Linked DNA regions of Astyanax mexicanus. The protein of the gene in region 1 interacts with the protein of each later gene in a pairwise test. Links are inferred from orthologs where the notes say so. Each region holds a gene or a part of one and is shown on either strand. Other genes may lie near its edges.

The links.
Region 2: the proteins of bysl (region 1) and necab2 interact in binary tests that used the Homo sapiens proteins (3 or more experiments, as listed by UniProt). The two-hybrid records come from large-scale screens. The link is inferred for Astyanax mexicanus from reciprocal best matches to the Homo sapiens genes BYSL and NECAB2.

The regions. Positions count from the first base shown.
Region 1 is NC_064431.1:31,839,731-31,849,881, forward strand, and holds the start of bysl (bystin), read right to left. Parts: upstream 6,103-10,151; 5' UTR 5,988-6,102; coding exon 5,726-5,987; intron 4,405-5,725; coding exon 4,248-4,404; intron 3,110-4,247; coding exon 2,971-3,109; intron 2,260-2,970; coding exon 2,126-2,259; intron 1,859-2,125; coding exon 1,698-1,858; intron 1-1,697. Other genes in the region: med20 (mediator of RNA polymerase II transcription subunit 20), read left to right, coding at 7,199-7,212, 8,676-8,821, 9,967-10,151. UniProt on the Homo sapiens protein: Required for processing of 20S pre-rRNA precursor and biogenesis of 40S ribosomal subunits. May be required for trophinin-dependent regulation of cell adhesion during implantation of human embryos.
Region 2 is NC_064416.1:25,387,668-25,398,502, reverse strand, and holds the start of necab2 (N-terminal EF-hand calcium-binding protein 2), read right to left. Parts: upstream 4,386-10,835; 5' UTR 4,281-4,385; coding exon 3,948-4,280; intron 1-3,947. Other genes in the region: hydin (hydrocephalus-inducing protein homolog), read right to left, coding at 10,626-10,835. UniProt on the Homo sapiens protein: May act as a signaling scaffold protein that senses intracellular calcium.

The DNA of each region.
Region 1 (10,151 bases):
AAAATGTCACCAAATCTGCTGGGTCAAAAATATACATACAGCAACAAAATTTGTCAATTTTGGTGATGTAGCGAGTTGTGTCAATCAAATTAGCTTCATGTCATGGCCTCTTCACTTCTTGTAAGTGATTCTGATTGACTACAGCTGTTGACTTCTCATGAGCCCATTTAAATAGGGCTCATTTGACCCAGTGATTAGACTCAGCTACAAAAGCTACAATGGGAAAGTCAAAGGAACTCAGTGTGGATCTGAAAAAGCGAATTATTGACTTGAACAAGTCAGGGAAGTCACTTGGAGCCATTTCAAAGCAGCTACAGGTCCCAAGAGCAACTGTGCAGACAATTATACGCAAGTATAAAGTGCATGGAACAGTTGTGTCACTGCCACGATCAGGAAGAAAACGCAAGCTATCACATGCTGCCGAGAGGAGATTGGTCAGGATGGTCAAGAGTCAACCAAGAATCACCAAGAAGCAGGTCTGCAAGGATTTGGAAGCTGATGGAACACAGGTGTCAGTCTCCACAGTCAAGCGTGTTTTACATCGCCATGGACTGAGAGGCTGCCGTGCAAGAAAGAAGCCCTTGCTCCAGAAAAGGCACCTTAAGACTCGGCTGAAGTTTGCTGCTGATCACATGGACAAAGATAAAACCTTCTGGAGGAAAGTTCTCTGGTCAGACGAAACAAAAATTGAGCTGTTTGGCCACAACACCCAGCAATATGTTTGGAGGAGAAAAGGTGAGGCCTTTAATCCCAGGAACACCATGCCTACTGTCAAGCATGGTGGTGGTAGTATTATGCTCTGGGGATGTTTTGCTGCCAGTGGAACTGGTTCTTTGCAGAAAGTAAATGGGATAATGAAGAAGGAGGATTACCTCCAAATTCTGCAGGAAAACTTAAAACCATCAGCCCGAAGGTTGGGTCTTGGGCGCAGTTGGGTGTTCCAACAAGACAATGACCCAAAACACACATCAAAAGTGGTAAAGGAATGGCTAAACCAGGCTAGAATTAAGGTTTTAGAATGGCCTTCCCAAAGTCCTGACTTAAACCCCATTGAGAACATGTGGACAGTGCTAAAGAAACGGGTTCATGCAAGAAAACCATCACATTTAGCTGAACTGCACCAATTCTGTCAAGAAGAGTGGTCAAACATTCGACCTGAAGCTTGCCAGGAGCTTGTGGATGGCTACCAAAAGCGCCTAGTTGCCGTGAAAATGGCCAAGGGACATGTAACCAAATACTAATGTTGCTGTATGTATATTTTTGACCCAGCAGATTTGGTGACATTTTCAGCAGACCCATAATAAATTTATGAAAGAACCAAATTTTATGACTGTTTTTTGTGACAAACATGTATGTGTTCCGATCACTCTATCACAGAAAAATAAGAGTTGTAGAACTTATTGAAAACTCAAGACAGCCATAACATTATGTTTTTTTACAAGTGTATGTAAACTTTTGACCACAACTGTATATGTACGCCTATCAAAACTAATACAGAAGGGCTTATTTAACAGAACAGTATTGGCCAATTTTAAAAAATTGTCCTTTCACCTAGAAACTCTAAATGCTCCCAATGATATAATCCCCATGAGAAAACCAGGCTTATTTTTAGTTCTGGAAAGAACAAAAGAAGAGCTTTTGCCAGAAGAAGAATTTGAGCTGAAGGGGTTTCCAGGCACTCCGGAGTAATCCCTCACCTTTAAACCACGCCCCAGGCTTAAACAGGGCCTTCTTCAGGGAGCCGTACAGGTGAAAGTTCAGCCGCTTGTACTCTGCGATGTCGTCCCGGATCCGCGGCAGCAGCACTAGGTTGTAGAAGCGTTGGGCCATTCGCTCTTTTAGATTAGCGGAGAAGATCCTGCACCAGAACCAGCAGCAAAGACAAAGGAGGAATGCATACAAATAAAAGAGAAAAAAAAATGAGAGCACTTAAAATATTTAGTTTCTTTGATTTTACCAATTATAATCAAGAGGAAGATGGACGATCACAAGCCATCAAACCAAGCTGAACTGCTTGAATTTTTGCATATCTGCCTCTGCAGCATCCTGGGGTGCGTTATCTTGTTTCTCAGTGAGCATATATGTATATGAAATTGTGAACCAGGCTGCTTCTAAATTAACTCACCGTGTGGCCTGGTACATGGCGGCAGCCGTCCACTTCTCCGGATCTGTGAGGTAAAGCACCTGCTCCCAGTTTGAGAGCGCTGGGATGATTTTAAAGGCTTTGGGCAGCTTCCCACTGCGATACCTACAAAGAACCTGAAACAAAAGAACAAATATCGATCATAGATAAATCAGTGATCAAAATAAACTGAAATACAGCATGTTTTAGAGCTGCACAAAATATCATTTTATATACAAGCTCATTAAATCACACCATAGTACATGCAATTTTCCTAAAAGCTTTTCGCTGCTTGATACAAAGAAAAATCAAATTTTACGTGACTATATCCACTATATTAACAATTACATCTACCCAATACCATTTTTTGACTCCAATCACTGATACACATATTGTACTATTAATATTATGGCATTTTAGATTATTGACTTAATTCACTGACACTGAAATTTGGATAAAATTCCTGATACTCATTGCAACAAATATTGTACAACAAAATTTCACAATGTCAGGTTTTTACCCCCATATCATGCAGACCTAGTATGTATTACAAGAGTAATAAACTTAATTAATTTATCCTGAAGCTCATAAAAAAAAATCTCTAGTAAAGTGGCCAGATAGAAGCAGCACAAGGTAGGTGTGTCTAATAAAGTGGAAAATAGGTGTTTCTGATTAAGTGGTCAATGAGAGAAAGCACAAAAAAGGGGTTGCCAATAAAGTGGCAAAAGAATGTAGGCACAAAACTGGGGTTTCTAATAAAATGGCCAATGAGTGGAGGCACAAAAGTAGGTGTTTCTAATAAATTGGCCAGTAGGTGGATGCAAAAGGTAGGTGTTGCTCAGTCTCACCTTACTGACTCCTCTGTACACTTCAATCACCCTGGGGTCCAGCTGTGGATTGGGCATCCCCGACACCTCCGACATCACAGTGCCCACCTCCGTCTGCTTCTCTGTTAACTTCTCCATGATTATATCGGCTAGAGTGCGCCTTTACAAAAAAAAAATAAATACATTAAAAATAATTTTTACTATAAACATTGATATTTCTCTTTAAAATGAAGTTTGTGAACATGTTCAAACAAATATATACCAGCAAAATACAGTCCTATATTTAAACAAATCCAAATACATAAAGTAAAAATAAGATCAATTCAAATCAAATAGTTTTGCATATGTACAGGACTTTTAGAGGATTGAAATTACGTTACTCTCCTTCCCAAAAATTACAGCAAGATAAAAAAATATATAAATATAAAAATGAAAGACACTAAACGTACAATACGACATGGACACAGAGAGACATACACGAGACAAGAGACACAAGACAATAGTGCAATAGTGATGGGGGGATTAAAAGGAAATGACAGCACTGTGTTGTAAACAGAACAGAACCTGTATAAACATCAGTGCAAATAAAAGTGCACTAAATACTTTCACTAAACATTATGTTATTTATCTTTCAAGTGAATATGTTTGGAAAAATATATATACCAGCACAGTGCCATGTTGAAAAAAAAGTTAAATACATTAAGTAAAAATAAGATAAACTAATAATATGTTTAATTAGAGAGAATGATTTTTGTTGTGCTTGTTGCAACAATATATTTGCATGGAAACAACCAAAAAGTATGATGTTTTTTCCAACATCCATAAGGATACGCGTGCCTATGCTTTATATTGTGTGGTGTGGCATAGGGATGGGACTAAATATTGATCAGAGATATAATTGCATCTTTTTTGTTTGCAACTACTTGAATTTCTTGTCTCTTAATGTGTTTGAGAGCATCAGTTGTAAAGTAGTGAAGAGGTAGAGTTACAGGTATACAGTGAATAACTCTATTTGAGTACTGTTCTAATCCAGATTATGAGAAGCAAGAAATACTCAACTAAGTAAAAAGAAAAAATACTTTATGACTAAGAAATTAAGTCAATCTAAAAAATTTCAAGAACTTTGAAAGTATCCTTTAGCGCAGCCGCACATCAAAGCGATATGATGAAACTAGTACTCAACAGGACTGCCCCAGGAAAGAAAGAGCAAGAGTACATTATTAATAAGAAGAGCCACACTGCCCTATAGTGGAGCAGCCACCTTGCACTGTTACCCTTGTTGTCCAGGTGTTCTTTACCTCACTGGTGGGTTTTTGTTCATGAACATCTGTATGGCTTTTTCATCATCCGGATCCACCTCCACCTCAGCAACCGCCCCCACCTCATGATCCTCTGTTCCCATGGCACCCAGCTCTGGCCATTCCTCATCAGAGTCTCCATCCTGAGTATGTGGACCTGCAAACAACACATACTGTTAATAATGATAACAGCAATCTATAATGATTTCAATAACATAAAATAATCAGATTTATAACTTTACAACTAGGGCCATATCATATCACAGGCAATAATATTGCCAACATTTTCAAATACAGTTAACGATATTATACCCTGAAATATTGTACCATATCACTCACCACTAATTATCACATTAGGGTACTACTTTTTTTTTTTGCTGTTTTTAGCAAAAGAAAAATTCACACTGTTCTCATTTTACATTATATATCTACTAGAATCACTTGAAGACGGCAAGAAATTAAAGTTATTTTCCAAGATGTGTAGAGCTGTCATCAAAGCAAGAGGAGATACTTTGAAGAATGTAAAATATATAAAACATATTCTGGTTTGTTTAACACTTTTGTGTTTTTCTGCACAGTTTGGAAGACTTTATTATTAAATTACATTGGGGAACATTTTTGAAATAATGAAAAGAAAAAAATAACACTGAATTTAAGGTGACCACAACAGAGCACTTAGCTTGTGTGGTGGGTGGTTACTCGCAGTAATAGCACTGATTAGCATGGTGGTGGTGTATGAGGTGTTAGTGTGTGCTGAGCTGGTACAGTAAGTTGATCAGATACAGTAGTGCTGCTGATGGTTTTAAACACCGTGTTTAATCTCTCACTATCCTCCACTCTATTACACACTCCTACCTACAGCTGATTAGGGCTGCAACGATTAGTCAATATCATTGACAATGACGATTTTTAAAAATTTGTCGGCTCCAAATTTTCGATGTCGACTAATCGTCAATTAGTAGCACTACACAAATTACTGGGGACAAACACAATGTTAGAAGGGTAACTGGGTCTCCAAAAGAGCCCAATCACAACAGATTTCACATTTCCTCACTAAAGATCAGCACCTTCCATATTCAAAAGACAATGTTCTGGATATGTAAAGGGCATTTAAATCCCATGTTTAGCTGTTTTCTATCGTTTTGAACCAATAGTGAAAGCTAGAAACAGAAGCTCTACCAACAGCAAGCAGAGGGGAAGGCAGAAATAATCATTGACTAATCGAATAATCTGAAAAATATTCAGAAGATTAGTTAAATATTAAAATAATCATTAGTTGCAGCCCTACAGCTGCTCCACCTTACAGATAATGTAAAATTAGAGACAAAATATCTGAATTTGTTGCTGCACAGTTTATTTTTTTGTTATTCTTAATCCAGCAGTGACACTGAGGTGTTTAAAAACTCAAGCAGCACTGCTGTCTCTGGTGGTGGTCTATCATGTGATAATATTAATGTATACACGTTTATTTAACTTGCCCAGAACAGTAGAAGGTTTCTTCTTGGCCTCTGGTGTGACTCCGAACTCAGTCTGCAGCTCTTCTTGCTGAATCCGAGCCTGCTCCAGAATCCTCCTGGAGAGCTTCTCGTCCACATAGTCCTCCTCCTCCTGTTTTCTGCCCCGGTTTTTGACCCGGCTGTTGGTTCTGATGGTGTCGGACTGAAGCAGCTGATCGGCCAGGGCTACAGAACCTCCGGCCCGGTCCGGTCCACCACCTTTATCCCTCTTTACCTTCGGCATGGCGACAGACTGCTCAGATATAAATGGAGTTTTAAGTTCTACCAAAACCCTCTGTCGCACACACGTGGGTTTCCCTCAACGCTAATGGAGGTGAGGTAACGCAGGGGGTGCTCTGCCGAAAACTGACAACGCCGAAAACTGCACCCGTAGGACCCTTCGGTGGCTGGTTAGATGTGCCTGATGTAAAAGCGATTTTTTTTTTTTACAAATCTTAATTCTTTTGGTAACATATAGGGTCTCATGCTGTATTAAAATGAAATTTACACAGCTTTATTAGCTAACCACATCAATCATTTTATTTACTACATAACGTGCATTTATAATTTTTTTCTTTTAAATAGTTAATACATAATGTATGTTTTTTTTTTTTTTTACTATATTAATATTATATAATTTTTTTCAGTTTTTGATCACTTTTATACCATTTAAGTCATAATTATATTTTGTACTATTTAAGGACAGGCTGAGATTTATTATTATTATTTTTTTTCAAATTAATAATTTTAATAATAATTTTAGTGTGCAATTTTAGTTTGTTGTATATATTAATGCGTGTATAAAATTGACATTAGACGACTTTAGAATGACATATACACAATTATATTACATAAATGATTTTATTTGCTACATAGCGTGCATTTAGATATTTTTCTCTTTTTAATAATGTATTTATTATTATTTCCATTTTTACAGACCAATTGTTAGTCGTTAACTATTTTTTTTATAATATACATGTTTTTTTTTCGAGGAAAGACTAAAAAGATCATATTCGCCAATACAAATATTAGATTAAAAACTAAACAGAATTATATGTTTTCTTGATCATGTATATTTACATTTACAAAAGTATCTTGTCTTTCCTTTTTGTTTTATGTTGTGTTAATGTTTGTCTTTATAAAATGTTAATAAACTTTTCCAAAAAAAGGTCATTCTAATCAGGCGGTGTGACCGGAAACCAGTGAGTGCAGATTGAGTTGGAATACAGATTAGTATGCAGCACCTCCTTTTAAATATCGACGTTTATTTAATTTCTCCAGGTAATAATAGTTTTAATGTGCGAAAACATTTTGTTGTATATATTGATGCATGTATATGAAATTTAAAATTGTAAAAGTTGACATTAGACGACTTTAGAAAGACTTTTATTTTGTCAGTATCCGGATGAAGTCTGGCTGGGTGTTTTGAAGCTGTTGTGGCCGCGCTGTGCAGAGATGGGAGTTACCTGGTAAGAAGAATAAATGAATAAAAGAGTTCAGTTTGGCGATTTTTACTGGTTTCCCGAGATATAAAGAGTATTAATATATTTGTAACTGACATGTGGAGATTTTCTGTAGATCAGGGTTTTTCTCTTTATGCTGCCTTTGTGATCTAAACCAAAAACTGCTGTTCATGAACCAATATTTGGTGGAATAACCCTGTTTTTAATCACAGTTTTCATGCATCTTGGCATCATGTTCTCCTCCACCAGTCTTACACACTGCTTTTGGATAACTTTTTGCCTTTACTCCTGGTGCGAAAATTCAAGCAAGTTCAGTTTGGTGGTTTGATGGTTTGTGATCATCCATCTTCCTCTTGATTATATTCCAGAGGTTTTCAATTTGCTAAAATCAAAGAAAATCATCATCATAAAGTGGTCTCTTATTTTTTACAGAACTGTGTATATTTTTGAAATTACTAAAATATATATATTACATTACATTACATTTGGCAGACGCTTTTGTCCAAAGCGACTTACAATAGTCAAGTACAATGTAAAATAAGTTTCAAGGTAAAACATCTTTGGATAGGGATAAAAGGAGGACACAGGGGAATAATAGGATAGAGGAGTGAAGGAGAGGAAGAAGGAAATGAGGTTAGAAGTAGTTAGTGTGTTAGAGGTGTTAAGAGAGTAAGTGCTCTTTGAAGAGCTCTGTCTTCAGGAGTTTATTAAAGATAGTGAGAGATTCTCCTGATCTGGTAGTGGAAGGTAGTTAGTTAGAGGTGTTAGGAGAGTAAGTGCTCTTTGAAGAGCTCTGTCTTCAGGAGTTTCTTAAAGATAGCGAGAGATTCTCCTGATCTGGTAGTGGAAGGTAGTTTGTTCCACCATTGGGGAACTCTGTATGAGAACAGTCTGGATTGCTTTGTGTGAGTTTTTGGCAAAGCGAGGCGACGTTCACTGGAGGAGCGCAGCGGCCGGGAGGTAGCGTAAGCCTTCAGGAGCGAGTGCAGGTAGGAAGGAGCCTGTTCTGTCACCGCCTTGTAGGCGATTGTAAGAGCTTTGAATTTGATGCGAGCATCAACTGGTAGCCAATGGAGCTCAATGAGCAGCGGGGTGACATGTGCCCGTTTTGGCTGGTTGAAGACCAGACGTGCTGCTGCGTTCTGGATCATCTGGAGATATATATCATCTGGATCATCTGGAGATATATATATATATATATATATATATATATATATATATATATATATATATATATATATATATATATATATATATATATATATATATATATACTCCCCTACTTAAATAAATACACCCCTACTTAAAATGCACTGAAATAAGTAAGTTTAACTAGTTCCCTAGTGTCCCTGATTATTTCTCAGCTTTTTAATTATGTAATAAGTAGTGTGCAATAGAGCAGGACTACTTTTTATACTTTGTACAGTAGCATACCTGTATTCCAGTGTGTGTGTGTGTATGCGCTGTAGTGTGTGTCAGGTGCCGGTGGCGGAGGGGAAGAGTGTGCAGCAGACGGTGGATCAGCTGCATAAGAAGCTGGAGCAGCTGGGAGGAGTGAAGCAGGGCAGCTTCTTTGTGGACTGTGAGACGTATCACACCACAGGGAACGCCAGCGGTAAATACACTGTATATAAAATACCACCATAAACATAAAAAGTACTAACCCTTTGTTGAATAGCCTACCTCCACTCTCCCATAGCTTTCTGAGATACATTAATTTTGTGCTTTTTGCCCAGCACTCTTCACAACGGCTGCTTTGGGGCATCCACTTACCGACTGGTAATTTGCTTTTAACACCGTTATCCAGCTCAAAGTAGCTCCACATCTCATTGCTAGAATCTGAAGAGCTCTAACGTTTAAAACAAGGCATTAAGAGCTTTAAAAATGCACAAGAATCTTGTTAAAAACCTAAGCCCGAAGCTTCCTGTGCACTTTTTAAATTTCTAAATGCCTCGTTTTAAATGTCAGGGCTCTCCGGAGTCTAACAATGAGGTGTGGAGCTACTTTGAGCTGGATAACGGTGTAAAACTTATTTATCTGCAGGGGCAATGGATGCCCTGAAGCGCACGTTATAAAGAGTGCTGGGAAAAAGCACAAAATTACTGGATCAAGGAAAGCTGCAGGAGAGCGGAGGTGGCCTATTCAACTAAGGTTAGTACTCTTTATCATGTTTTACTACACTAAAACTAAATGTTACCTCAATTTGACCAAGATTGAGGTTAAATCCCTTCAGTCTTCAGTGCCATGCGGCACTTTAGGGGCCGTAGGAAAAATACCGGGCAAAATGAGTAAGAAATAACTCTATTTAACTTTCACAAAATGTGACCTTGTGATACAAAATCAGTGGCAAAATATGTGTACATTTTTTCGTATTTTACCATTGATTTGACAACGAGGCCACATTTTGAGTAAAGTTAAAGGAGAAATCTGGTTTGAAATGGACTTGGGGTGAAGTGAAACATGATGTTCACATTTCACACTTAACATTTAAATAGAGTTATTCACTGCTCATTTTGTCCAGTATTTCCCTTTTCCCTTCTACTGCACTTAGTAAAATAAAAAAGTGAATTTCAGTAAAGATTGTTAAATGAAAAAGGAAAGACTAAGGCTTTAGCTTGTTGTTTTTCATCATTTGAAGAGCCCCTGCTTACAGGCAAATAATGATATATGTAACACATAATTATATATATAACGTGTGTGTGTGTGTATGTGTGTGTATGTGTGTGTATGTGTGTGTATGTGTGTGTGTGTGTGTGTTAGGTCAGCCCTCTAAGCTGCTGTATGTGATGCATAACTCGGAGACTCCGCTGAGCTGCCTGGCTCTGTACGAGGGGGGGCCGTACCTGACTGCAGATGCTAATTTCGACGTCCTGATGGTGAAGCTGAAGAGCCACTTCCAGAACGCTAAAGGTCACAAGGTCGAGAGCCGCGGTGCACGCTACCGA
Region 2 (10,835 bases), on another chromosome or scaffold:
AATTTGATATTAGTGTTGCTGGTTTACAGTAAGTTGGGACACATACATTCTTCCCATTCATTTTTACACTTTTCGACACAATATGAATCAGGGCAGTCCAGATCTAACACAGTGATCGGGATCGATCCAGGCATATTTTAATGTATCGGTTATTGACTATTTTAACCTCAATCCAGTTCCAAGTCTTTGTTTTAACCACAGGGTTCAGAGTACCATCTGGTGGCCTCATGGGACCATTACATAATTGCCCAGCCAACAGCAGCAGTAAGGAGAGGTCTTAAAATAAAATGAAATAAAAGAGTTGAAATTGAATACATTTCAAATATATATATATATAAATATGAGAACTGCATGATGAGATATTCATTTAACACATATAAAAAATTTATTTAAAGACTACAAAACTAAATAAATCAGACCATGATGTCTCATTCTATAAACTCTTACTTAAAATAAAGTGATTTTACTTACATGTAAAAGCAGTATATCCACAGCACCTCTAAACTGTGCAGCAGTATTATTCACACAAACATTACACAAACACAGATTGAGGGCAAAATAGTCTGATTAACACAACCCTAATGTGAATCTGTCAGTTATTTTGTATACTGTACCCAATTTTATTATGATCAAACCAATAAAATGTGACAAAATAATCTGGAATAAGATTTTGTTTTTACATTAACTTCTATTGGTGTTTAAGGCATTTTTCTCTTTTTCTTCTCCTCAAGAGTTGCCATTTAGGGGATTCAAGGTTTTTTTTCCATTAAAGTGAGGATATACTTCATTTGAACAAAGTAACAGATCTGTACAATGTTTTAAAACTCCATGAAAAATAGACAAACAGAAATGCTCCAAAATTACTTTAAATTAAATGCTTTTGCCTTCGCCATATTGGACCTAGTGAAGGGGCTCCTAGAGTTAAACAGGCATGCCAGATAAACTTTTAGCTTTGGATTAGTAGTGATGAGCTCTCCACACGGCCCAGGCATAGCAGAGGCTTCACGCAGGTAATGGAATCCACCCCCGAAGTGAGGCTGGAAATCAATTCCCTGACAGGCACCTGCGCTCCCAAGTGAGCCTCCATGGAGCGCTATGCACTCTTCCTTCTCTTTCTCTCTTTCTCTCTCTCTCTCTCTCTCTCTCTCTCTCACACACACACACTCTTGTTCTCTCCCTTTTTTCTATAGCTCCTGATCCTCTCTTGCACCATTTCTTCTCATCCTCCTGTGTCTCATACTCGTTTATTTTTTCCCCTCCAGAGTATGATTTTCTTAATTTCACATTTCTGGGGTACAACTGTGCCTCGAGTCTTTTATTACAAACTTGTCTCTTTTTTCTTCTTCTTTTTTTAATTGGTTTTAATGCACCAGTTAAACACATTACTACCTTTTTTTTTCCTGTATCTGGGTCTGGAAATGAACTACTTTTCGCTCCACTGGCAGGCAGGGTTTTAACTTTTTTTCCCCCCAGAAGACACAGGTAGGGTAATGAATGATCAGGAGCTCTGAGAAGATAGTGAGGCACCACTTTGACCTGCTAAATCAATACAGCTGAGACCTCGCCTGAGCACAGCAGGGCTTCACTAGGAAAAGTTAATCAATTATTTAGGCAGGGTGTGCTTGTCACATAGGCTGTGTTATGGTCGTGAGAGAAAATACATTGGGGGCGTAAACAACGGGAAAATCGATTAATTAATTAAGAGATAAACTATGTAGGCTAGTCATACTATAAGACTATCTTAATAATATTGATGATATGAGATTATAAAAGATTTCACACGGCTGCTTCCGTGCGCGTTGTATTTCTTTTAAACCGCCAGTATTTGGGCAAGCCCCGCCTCCTGCGCTAGCATTGGCTGGTAGTATCTCTGCCAGGCGCTGGGATTCGCTAGTAGTTCACATCCACGAGTGAATCGATAGAGTATGAACTATGAACCAATCACAGCACAAGAGTTTAGCCAAAGGAGGGGCTTAACTGAGAAGAGGCGGGAAAAGAAGACGCTCGCCCTCGGCTCCAGCTGATCTCAGTTACGCAGTCTAATTTAAACACTAGAGAGCTTCGCACCCTCACAATAAATTTAATATTTAATATTTCAGTAAAATATTTGTATTAAGCTACAGAATAAGAAGCCTAACCACTAGAAGAGACGTTGGTTGTGGTGTGAAGGAGTGTACCGCAGCTGTTACTTTTTAGAATCTTGCCCAACATTCGTGTTCGTTTCTGAGCTCCACTGAATTAAATGGCTTTAGCGCGAAGCAGCGGCGTTACAGAGAGGATGCTAGGCTCCCTAACTAGGTTAACTAACTAACTAGCAAACTAGATATCACAGGTTAGCTAGCGAACCTAGCCCTCCTTAAGTAATGTTTCTGTCAAAAACAGATTTGTTACAAGAAATTACGTGATAAACAAGACAAGACCTAATTTTAAGAGAGACTATTATTCTGTTACTGTGCTGTTCTAAAATGATTTAACGCTCAATGACAAATTATATTTTTGGAAGGAATACTATGATGTTTGGAATGTTGAAAGCCCATGTGAATATAGGTAATCAAACGTATACAATTTAGATTTGAATCAGGTGTTTCAGAGCAAGAAATCAACCAAAACATGCAGGCATGTGTTCAACAAATGAAAAAACACTGTTTTAGTAAGTTTACAGCATGAATATTGTAAAAATATAAACAGCCAAACATTTTCTATACTTATTATGACCCATTGTACGTCTCGTTGTATTTGGCGTAGCGTATATATTCATTGTGACATTATATTAAAATGAAATACATAAAAATAAGCTACAGTGTATCAACCAAAAACTTGGTTTGTTGCTTGAAGTGTTAATAATGTCACAGAGGGTTAATAATTTAAAGACTTAACCCTCATAACCACTTAAAACGAATGTGTTGGCGTCGCTAGTAAGTTAGCTGGCTAAGGTTTGTACACATGTACTCACTCTCCAGGCGGATTTACATCCGATTTTTCACTTTTTTAGAGTATTAATCTAAAGAATACGAATCCTGCTCACTAGAAGAGGCGTTGGTTGGGGTGTGAAGGCAGTTTAACGCAGCTGTTACAATTCAGAAAGTTGCACAACGTTTGTGTTCGTTTTTGAGCTCCACTGAATTAAATGACTTGAGCGCGAGGCAACGGCGTTACGGAGAGGGTGCTATGCAACCTAACGTTAGCTAACTAGGTTAGCTAGTAACTAGCTAGATACAGATTTGGAAAAAATAAGATTCCGCCTGAAAATGATGAGTTTCTTTGATTTTACCAAACTGAAAACCTCTGGAAGATAATCAAGAGTAAGATTGATAATCACAAGCCGTCAAACCAATCTGAACTGCTTGAATTTTTGCACCAGGAGTGGCATAAAGTTATCCAAAAGCGGTGTGTAAGACTGGTGGAGAACATGCCAAGATGCATGAAAACTGTGGTTAAGAACCAGGGTTATTCCACCAAATATTGATTTCTGAACTCTTAAAACTGTATGAATCATTTGAGGTCTGAAAGCTCTGCATCTTTTTTGTTATTTCAGACATTTCTTATTTTCTGCAAATAAATGCTCTAAATGACAATATTTGGAATTTGTGAGAAATATTGTCTGTAGTTTACAGAACAAAACAACAATGTTCATTTTACACAAACATGTTACCTATAAATAGCAAAATCAGTTAAACTGATTCTCTTATTTTTTTTCCAGACGTGTAGCTAACGTTACCACACCGGTTAATTAGCTAATCTAGCTAAGTAACGTTAAACTCAGCCAAACCGCTGAAACACCTCCTCCTAACTCCTCCGCAAGTCATTTTACTGCCAGAAACAAAGTTAAACTTTAAGCGCGAGCACCAGCCAACCCTTCAACATCAGCGTACACAAACGCTAACACACTTTACACTAACACACACACACAGGCGCGAACACAAACACGCAGCTAAACAAACACTTACGTCCAGAATGACGGAGATGCCTTTCCGCGGCTCCGGGGCGAAGAACTGCTCCTGGGCCACGGCCACCTCCTCCTCCTCCTTGGCGTACTCCCGCGTCGAGATGCTTTTGTTGTCGCTCATCTTGGTGACTATCCAGCGGACGAGCCCGTCGATTCCCCCGGGCTGGGCTCCTCCGCCGCTGTTTTGGGCCGGTGCAGCCGTCGCTGTCTCGCTGTCCCGCGGCCCGCCGCCTCTGGGCTGCTCGCCGCTGTCCTGCGCGCGGAGTTTGCCTTGTTCCTTGTGGAGCAGCTTGTGGACGACGTCCCTGCAGTTGCGCGCTGCCTGCTCACACATCCTTTTGCCTCCGCGCGTTCATGCTGCGCGCTATGGGGGCCGGTCCCTCCTCCCCTCTGACATCAGCACATGCCCAAACACATACACACGCGCGCGCGCACACACACCTACCTCTCCAAGGCACGCGCACTTACTGCCCCTCTGAAGCGAGGCTTCTCTCAGTGCAGGTGCTGTTGCTGCTGCTGCTGGAGCAAACCCTGCCCTGCGCTGCCCTGCCTGCACACTTGGATGCCTGCCTGCATGACTGGTACTGAAACAGACCCGATTGCGCGGAGCAGAACTTCATTCTGATTTAGTTAAACTGGATGAAGTAGATTATGTATATAGTTCTCAGGGATCTAGCTAGACTCTGAAGCACACGGTTGATCTGCTGTAAGCTGTAAGTCAGACACTGGCAGACTTAAGGGGGTGGGCCAGAGGGGCAACTGCCCCCCTAGGTGTTCCCAGTGGTTCGCTAAAGTGGCCAAAAAGTGTCTGCTAGGGTGCCCCCAAAAAGAAGTTCTCTAGATCAAGAAATTTTCAAGTGTCTCAATGAGAACCCATCTTTGAGTGCCGTTATGAAGCACCTTCACTCCCACATCTGCTGCACAGCGTCCCAAAGGATGCTTTTTTTCCCAGCAGAGAAAATGAGATGCAGTGCTGTATTAGGTTCTCCTATAGGTGAAAAATGATGAAGTACCTGGTTAGGTGCTCCTGTCACAACAACGTGTCCCACCAGTGGATGAAATGGATTTGTATTGGAGTTGAATTACTAACCCAAAACAAAAAAGTAGGGACAGTGTTTATGTTCTGTCTGGTCAACTTTGTATAATTTCTTCTTCATATACATCAATTCCTTGATTATAAATTATAAATGTGTTCGGTTGGGTAAACTGGAACCTACAGGGTTTGCTTCACCATACCAGCTGTTAAATACAGACAATGACACACAAAGTTCTGTTTGACAAGATCTCTTTTGGTCATATGTTTTTTATGATCCTGTACTTGTTTACTGTAGCAGTAATAAAATCTCCAAACTATAATTTGATACTGATTTCATCAAGCCATATGTGAAGCTTTTGTGTAGCTTTTTATTCATACCAAGTACCAGCAGCAGTAAAAGTATATTTAATCAGCCTGAACTCGACTTTGAGTAACACACTGTAATCATTTGTGAAAACAAGTTTGTCCAGTGCCGCTGCATTTGCTGTATAAGCAAATTTCCAAAGAGTCTAATGAGTGTGTCTCCAGGGACACATCCGTGACCTGAACATTAGCCTCACAGCCCACAGTGTGAGCAGGAATGCAACAATGGGCAGCTGAATAATGGAGGAGTAATTGTCTCTGGAGAACCTATGGTCTTATCTGCCGAGACAAAATTGTATCTGCAGATATGTAAAAAATGAAGTAGACAAAAAGTAGATATCTCAGAGATAAGCAAAAAGGTAAAATGCACATTTACATATAACTAACTAAATCATGCTGATCAGGTTTTAGTGTATCACTGCCCTATACAAAATGACACCTTTTTTTTTTGTTTACAGAATAAAAATTTTTCACATGTGATTTAGAATGTATTCTAACCCACGGTTGAACATGCTCCTAATTCAATGTAAGCAGCAACATTCTGTACCAGTCCACAGGCTGACAAGTTTCAACCAAGGTCTATCCTGGAGACATTGCAGACCCCTAGCAGGCTGCATCAATATTACACAACCTTGTCAGAAGTTATTTTGGTCCAGGAAACAACCTTAATGGCATGAAGTAGAGACAGTAATAGAAGAAATGCTGGTGGTAGTAGGTGACACTCTCGCTTTGAACATTTTTCAAAAGATGTGATGGAGAACGGGGACAGGCATTAACAGATTATACTCTTCCTCAGTGGTGAGCAGCCATTGAGTAGATTATTATCTAGAATATTTTTTCTTTTAATAAAATACAGCAAACTGTGTTTGTGCAATAAAACTTGCATCTTTTCTTTTGGCTCCTGGTACCATACTAGGTTCATTTGCCCCTATCAGGCATCATCAGTGTGTAGTCATTCCCCCTTTAATGTGTACTAATCTTTTTTGGGAGTGTTGGCCTTGTTTTTGTAATGTATTTAATATTTAGAAATGTTAGACAGACTTTATTTTGTTACTTTTAGTTTATAATAGCTGTTAAATTTAGGTAATATTTACCTTCACATCAAAAGAAGATAGAAAATAGTATAAAGAAGCAAGAAAAACACATCTCTTGTAAATTTCAGCACAGAGGTTGTCACCTCCAGTCCTGGAGACCCACTGACCTGCACAGTTTCAGATACTCTCTGCCACAATCACTACTGACCAACCCCATGAAGGGCTTGATAATTAGATGATGAGCTGCATCAGGCATGCTGGGTGCAGGAAATCATTTAAACCAGTGGTCTCACCCTGCCTCTTCCCTTGCATCACACTGCATCCGATCCACTCATGCTATTAATGGTTCTAAAAAGAGTATAGAAGCACACATTTGGTTTCAGAAAAAAAACACATTTTTAATCTTACTTAAACCAGAAGTGGTTCTACTGTGGAATTGTTCACTAACATTTGTAGCAGCGTTATTTCCAAGAGGGCAGCTGGTCAAGTACTATGTGTAATGCACCTACAAAATGTAGAAGCACTGAAAAACATTAAAAGAACTTAGTTAGCAGCAAAGCATGTTATGTTAACCATGTTCAGAAGCAGGATCAACTCCTCTGGGTTCAAAAACATCTGGGATGGACCATCACACTGTGGAAACACGTATTTAATCAGACAAATCAATATTCCAGGTCAACTCTGTGAGCTTCAAACCAAAGCCAAGAAGGACCATGCATTTTCCAGGGACCTTCATGCATTTTTCAACTAGACAATGAAAAGCTACCAGGTGATGCTTCTGAGGAAGAGGGCATTGGTACTGGACTGGCCTGTCTCAGTCCTCACCTGTCCCTAACAGAGAAAGTGTGGAGACTTTTGAAGCACAAAATGAGAAAACAATACTGTACTGTTGCACACCTTAAGACATGTTTCCAAGAAAAATAGGACAAAATTTAGATTAGATTAGATTTAGAAATACTCTTCTTGTAAGTGAGAAGACATTACAACATTACCAAGTACTACAGGTCTGAATGCAGGAATGGATGTATGCTAAAAAAATAAATATCCTAGGTTCATAGTGTCAAAGTAAATAAAAACACATTTTTAGAGAAACATTTTTTATAAGTTTCCAACATTTTCTGATTAGGTGTTGTAAGATCTTCAGAACCAGGGTTAGTGATCACTGTTAAAACTATACATGGTTGGATTTTGAGGACTGTAGTTGTTTTATATAGGGTTGTTCTGTAGTTGCTCTCAATGTTTTTCCTTGATTGAAGCTTAAAGCAAAACCTTCCTGAGGTGATCTGGGTGTGTTTTATTTTGGAAAACACCTCACCATGCAGAGCAGTGGTACTTTAGGACCAAAATTCAGAACTACTGGGCTCCATGCACCATGTGAAGAGTTAAATTGCAAAAACAGTTATGTTTAAAAGAATAGCTTTGTTTTTGCCAATAAGCTCTTCATAATAATAAGTCTCTGCAGTGTAATACAATTGAGAGTAGACATTCTGTTGTCAAATCTGAGTCATAACAAATCTGAGATTTCCTCTGTGAGATCTTCATGCAGAGGAAACCTGGTACTTCCGCTGTTTCAGGAGGGGTGCTTTCTCACTTGCTTTCTCACTCCTGCGACACCCTCATTACCTTCGTGCCTCTATAAAGGCCTCAGATGACCTTTGCCAGTTGAAAGGGTGTTGAAAGGCTCCCCCAGTCCTGCCCTTTGCCAGAGGTGATTAAGTCCTCCCTGCTAAAAGGCCCCTTCATTTAATTGGTGCACAGAACAAGCCCCCCCATACACACAGTTTGTGGTCCTATAGTGAGGCATTTAGCCCGACAACAACGCAGTGCTGAAAATATGTCCCTGTAATGTACGGGGGAAACGGAAGCAAAAGCTTTTTAATGCTTTTTCTCCCCAAGCTGAGCTCGGGTAATTATGACAAGCCGTAATCTCTTGTCTTTGGCGGCGCCTGGGACGCCACCCCTGCTGTCTCAGTGCGGCTGTTACAGGCCGTTTCCCATCTCTTCTCAGAAGCGTGCGCAGTGGTGCGCTGCAGTGCCCCTACAGAGCTTAGAAGGCACTAAGCAGGTGGGCGGCTGCACTGGTTACTGCAGCTGTAGCCTGATCAGAATCTTGCAGGAGTGATCAGCGAGAGGAGGGCAACTTCTTAAAGATACTAAATAATAATAAAAAAACATTTTAAACATCTGCAGGTTTTTTGTAGTGGAGTAAAGGCATACTAAGCTAAGAATGAAGTCACACACCGTCTGTCTCTGTTCTTGCTGTCCATAACCAGTCTAGTCCCAACCTATGGAACCTTTGGCCGTGTCCAAGAGACAAGAAGTCGTGGAAGTCGTCTGACAATATGTTCTTTTTTTTTTTTTTATTTAGATGCCTCCTCTGCTCCTACTGCCTCTTGTACATTCATGTAGTCTCAGTAGAAAACACAATTCAGGAACCTTATTTTGGTCACAGTCAAGCATTTAATTAAAGGTAAAATATAAAATAAAAATTGCATTCTAATACAATCAATTTTTTCTTTACATCTACAACCAAACATATACAACCATATACAGGAAAAAAGAGACCACTTAAAAATTATAAGCTTCTTTAAATTTTACTAAATTGAAAACCTCTGGAATATAATCAGGAGGAAGATGGATGATCACAAGCCATCAAACCAAACTGAACTCCCTGGATTTTTGCACCAGGAGAAGAATAAAGTTATCCAAAAGCAGTGTGTAAGACTGGTGGAGGAGAACATGCCAAGATGCATGAAAACTGTGATCAAAAACTTTGCATTATTTGAGGTCTGAAAGCTCTGCATCTTTTTTGTTATTTCAGCCATTTCTCATTTTCTGCAAATAAATGCTCTAAATGACAATATTTTTATTTGGATTTTGGGAGGAATGTTGTCCATGGTTTATAGAATAAAACAACAATGTTTATTTTACTAAAACATAAACCTATAAATAGCAAAATTACAGAAACTGATTCATAAACTGAAGTGGTCACTTATTTTTTCCAGAGCAGTATGTTATTTTACATAAACATAAAAAAAAAAAACATTAAAATGTCTTGTCATTCTCTGTTTTTTATTACCTCCCAAGTAAACCACATGAACATGACCCATGAACAAGTCAGGGAAACGAGTGTCACCTTAGAGAAACGTACCATCTAAGATGCACTTGAAAGCACAGTAAGCTCCATGCTGAAGTTGCCGGCTTTCCTTTGATGGCTCAGTCAGAGAGAGACATTTTGCCTTGATTACTCTGAAAATGGCTAATGAGTGTTGGGGACGCATATAAAGAGTATTTAGATTCATCTCAGTCTGACACAGCCTGCTCTGTTAATGCCAAAAAGGTATTAAAGGTTTCCCTCCATTAAAATCCACTTTTTCTAGTTCTTTGTGAAATACTATGGGTACTTGGTTAATGACAAAGAGGGTATTAAGAATGACAAGTCCATTTCAACAATTAGGTCTTTTTATTATTATATTTTATTATTGAACTTTACCTGTAAGAGCTTGTAGCAGATATGATGCATGTTCTACACAGTGGTGTACAGGACTAGTGCTGTACTGTACTGTACTGTATCATAAGCAGTTCAACATTATCATATTGTCAGCTGACCCGCTTAATGGCCGGGGCTCAAGAGGGTGTTTGGAGATGAGGGTGCAGGGAACAAATTGCAGCAAAATTGAGAGCCAATTTAAACTGTGCTCCTAAGAGGACTATTGCTTAATGTCAGGCTGCCCTTGCTTGGGCTGTGCTCGCCCACTCTCTCATTAAAAGCTCTCTTACAGTCCATGAAGTGTCTCGCCAGACTGCGGCAAAAAAAAAAAAAAGAAATTGGAAAAATATTAGATTCACATGCACTAAAAACCTGAGCCATTTTATAACAAGCACTCACTCACAGAAATGTATTATGTGAACACAGACATTCAAATGTCTCTTAAAAGAGTGGAGAGCATCTACTGTTCCATGTAATAATGTAATGTTAGAGGTGTTGCAAAAGGGCAGCAAGTGCACCTCCTGGTGGAGGTCAGAAGAAATCAAGGACTGGCCTTGCAGCTTTTACAGCTACACTTTAAAGTGACTTTACAGAACACATACACAAAGCTGTTTATACAAATGGACATAAATTCTACTTTCTAAGGCATATTTATTTATTTTGTACACCTAGTATGTAACCTTAAATGTATTTCTCCAGAACTGGTTAAACTGATTTACTGCATTATGCAGTGCAGCAGAACATGGCACCCAATCATTACTTCTCTCTCTGAGGCTGCTCAGGGCAGATGCCCTTGAGGTAGTACACCCAGAAGATGGCCTGTCCATGTCCGTCTGTCCGTGGACTGGAGATGGTCAGCTTTCCTGTGCACAGGGTCTTGGAGCCTTCCGGAGGGCCCTCAAAGCTCACCACAATGTTGTGCGTCTTTTTAGATGGGATGGTGTCCGCTCCCTTGACAGTAAAGGC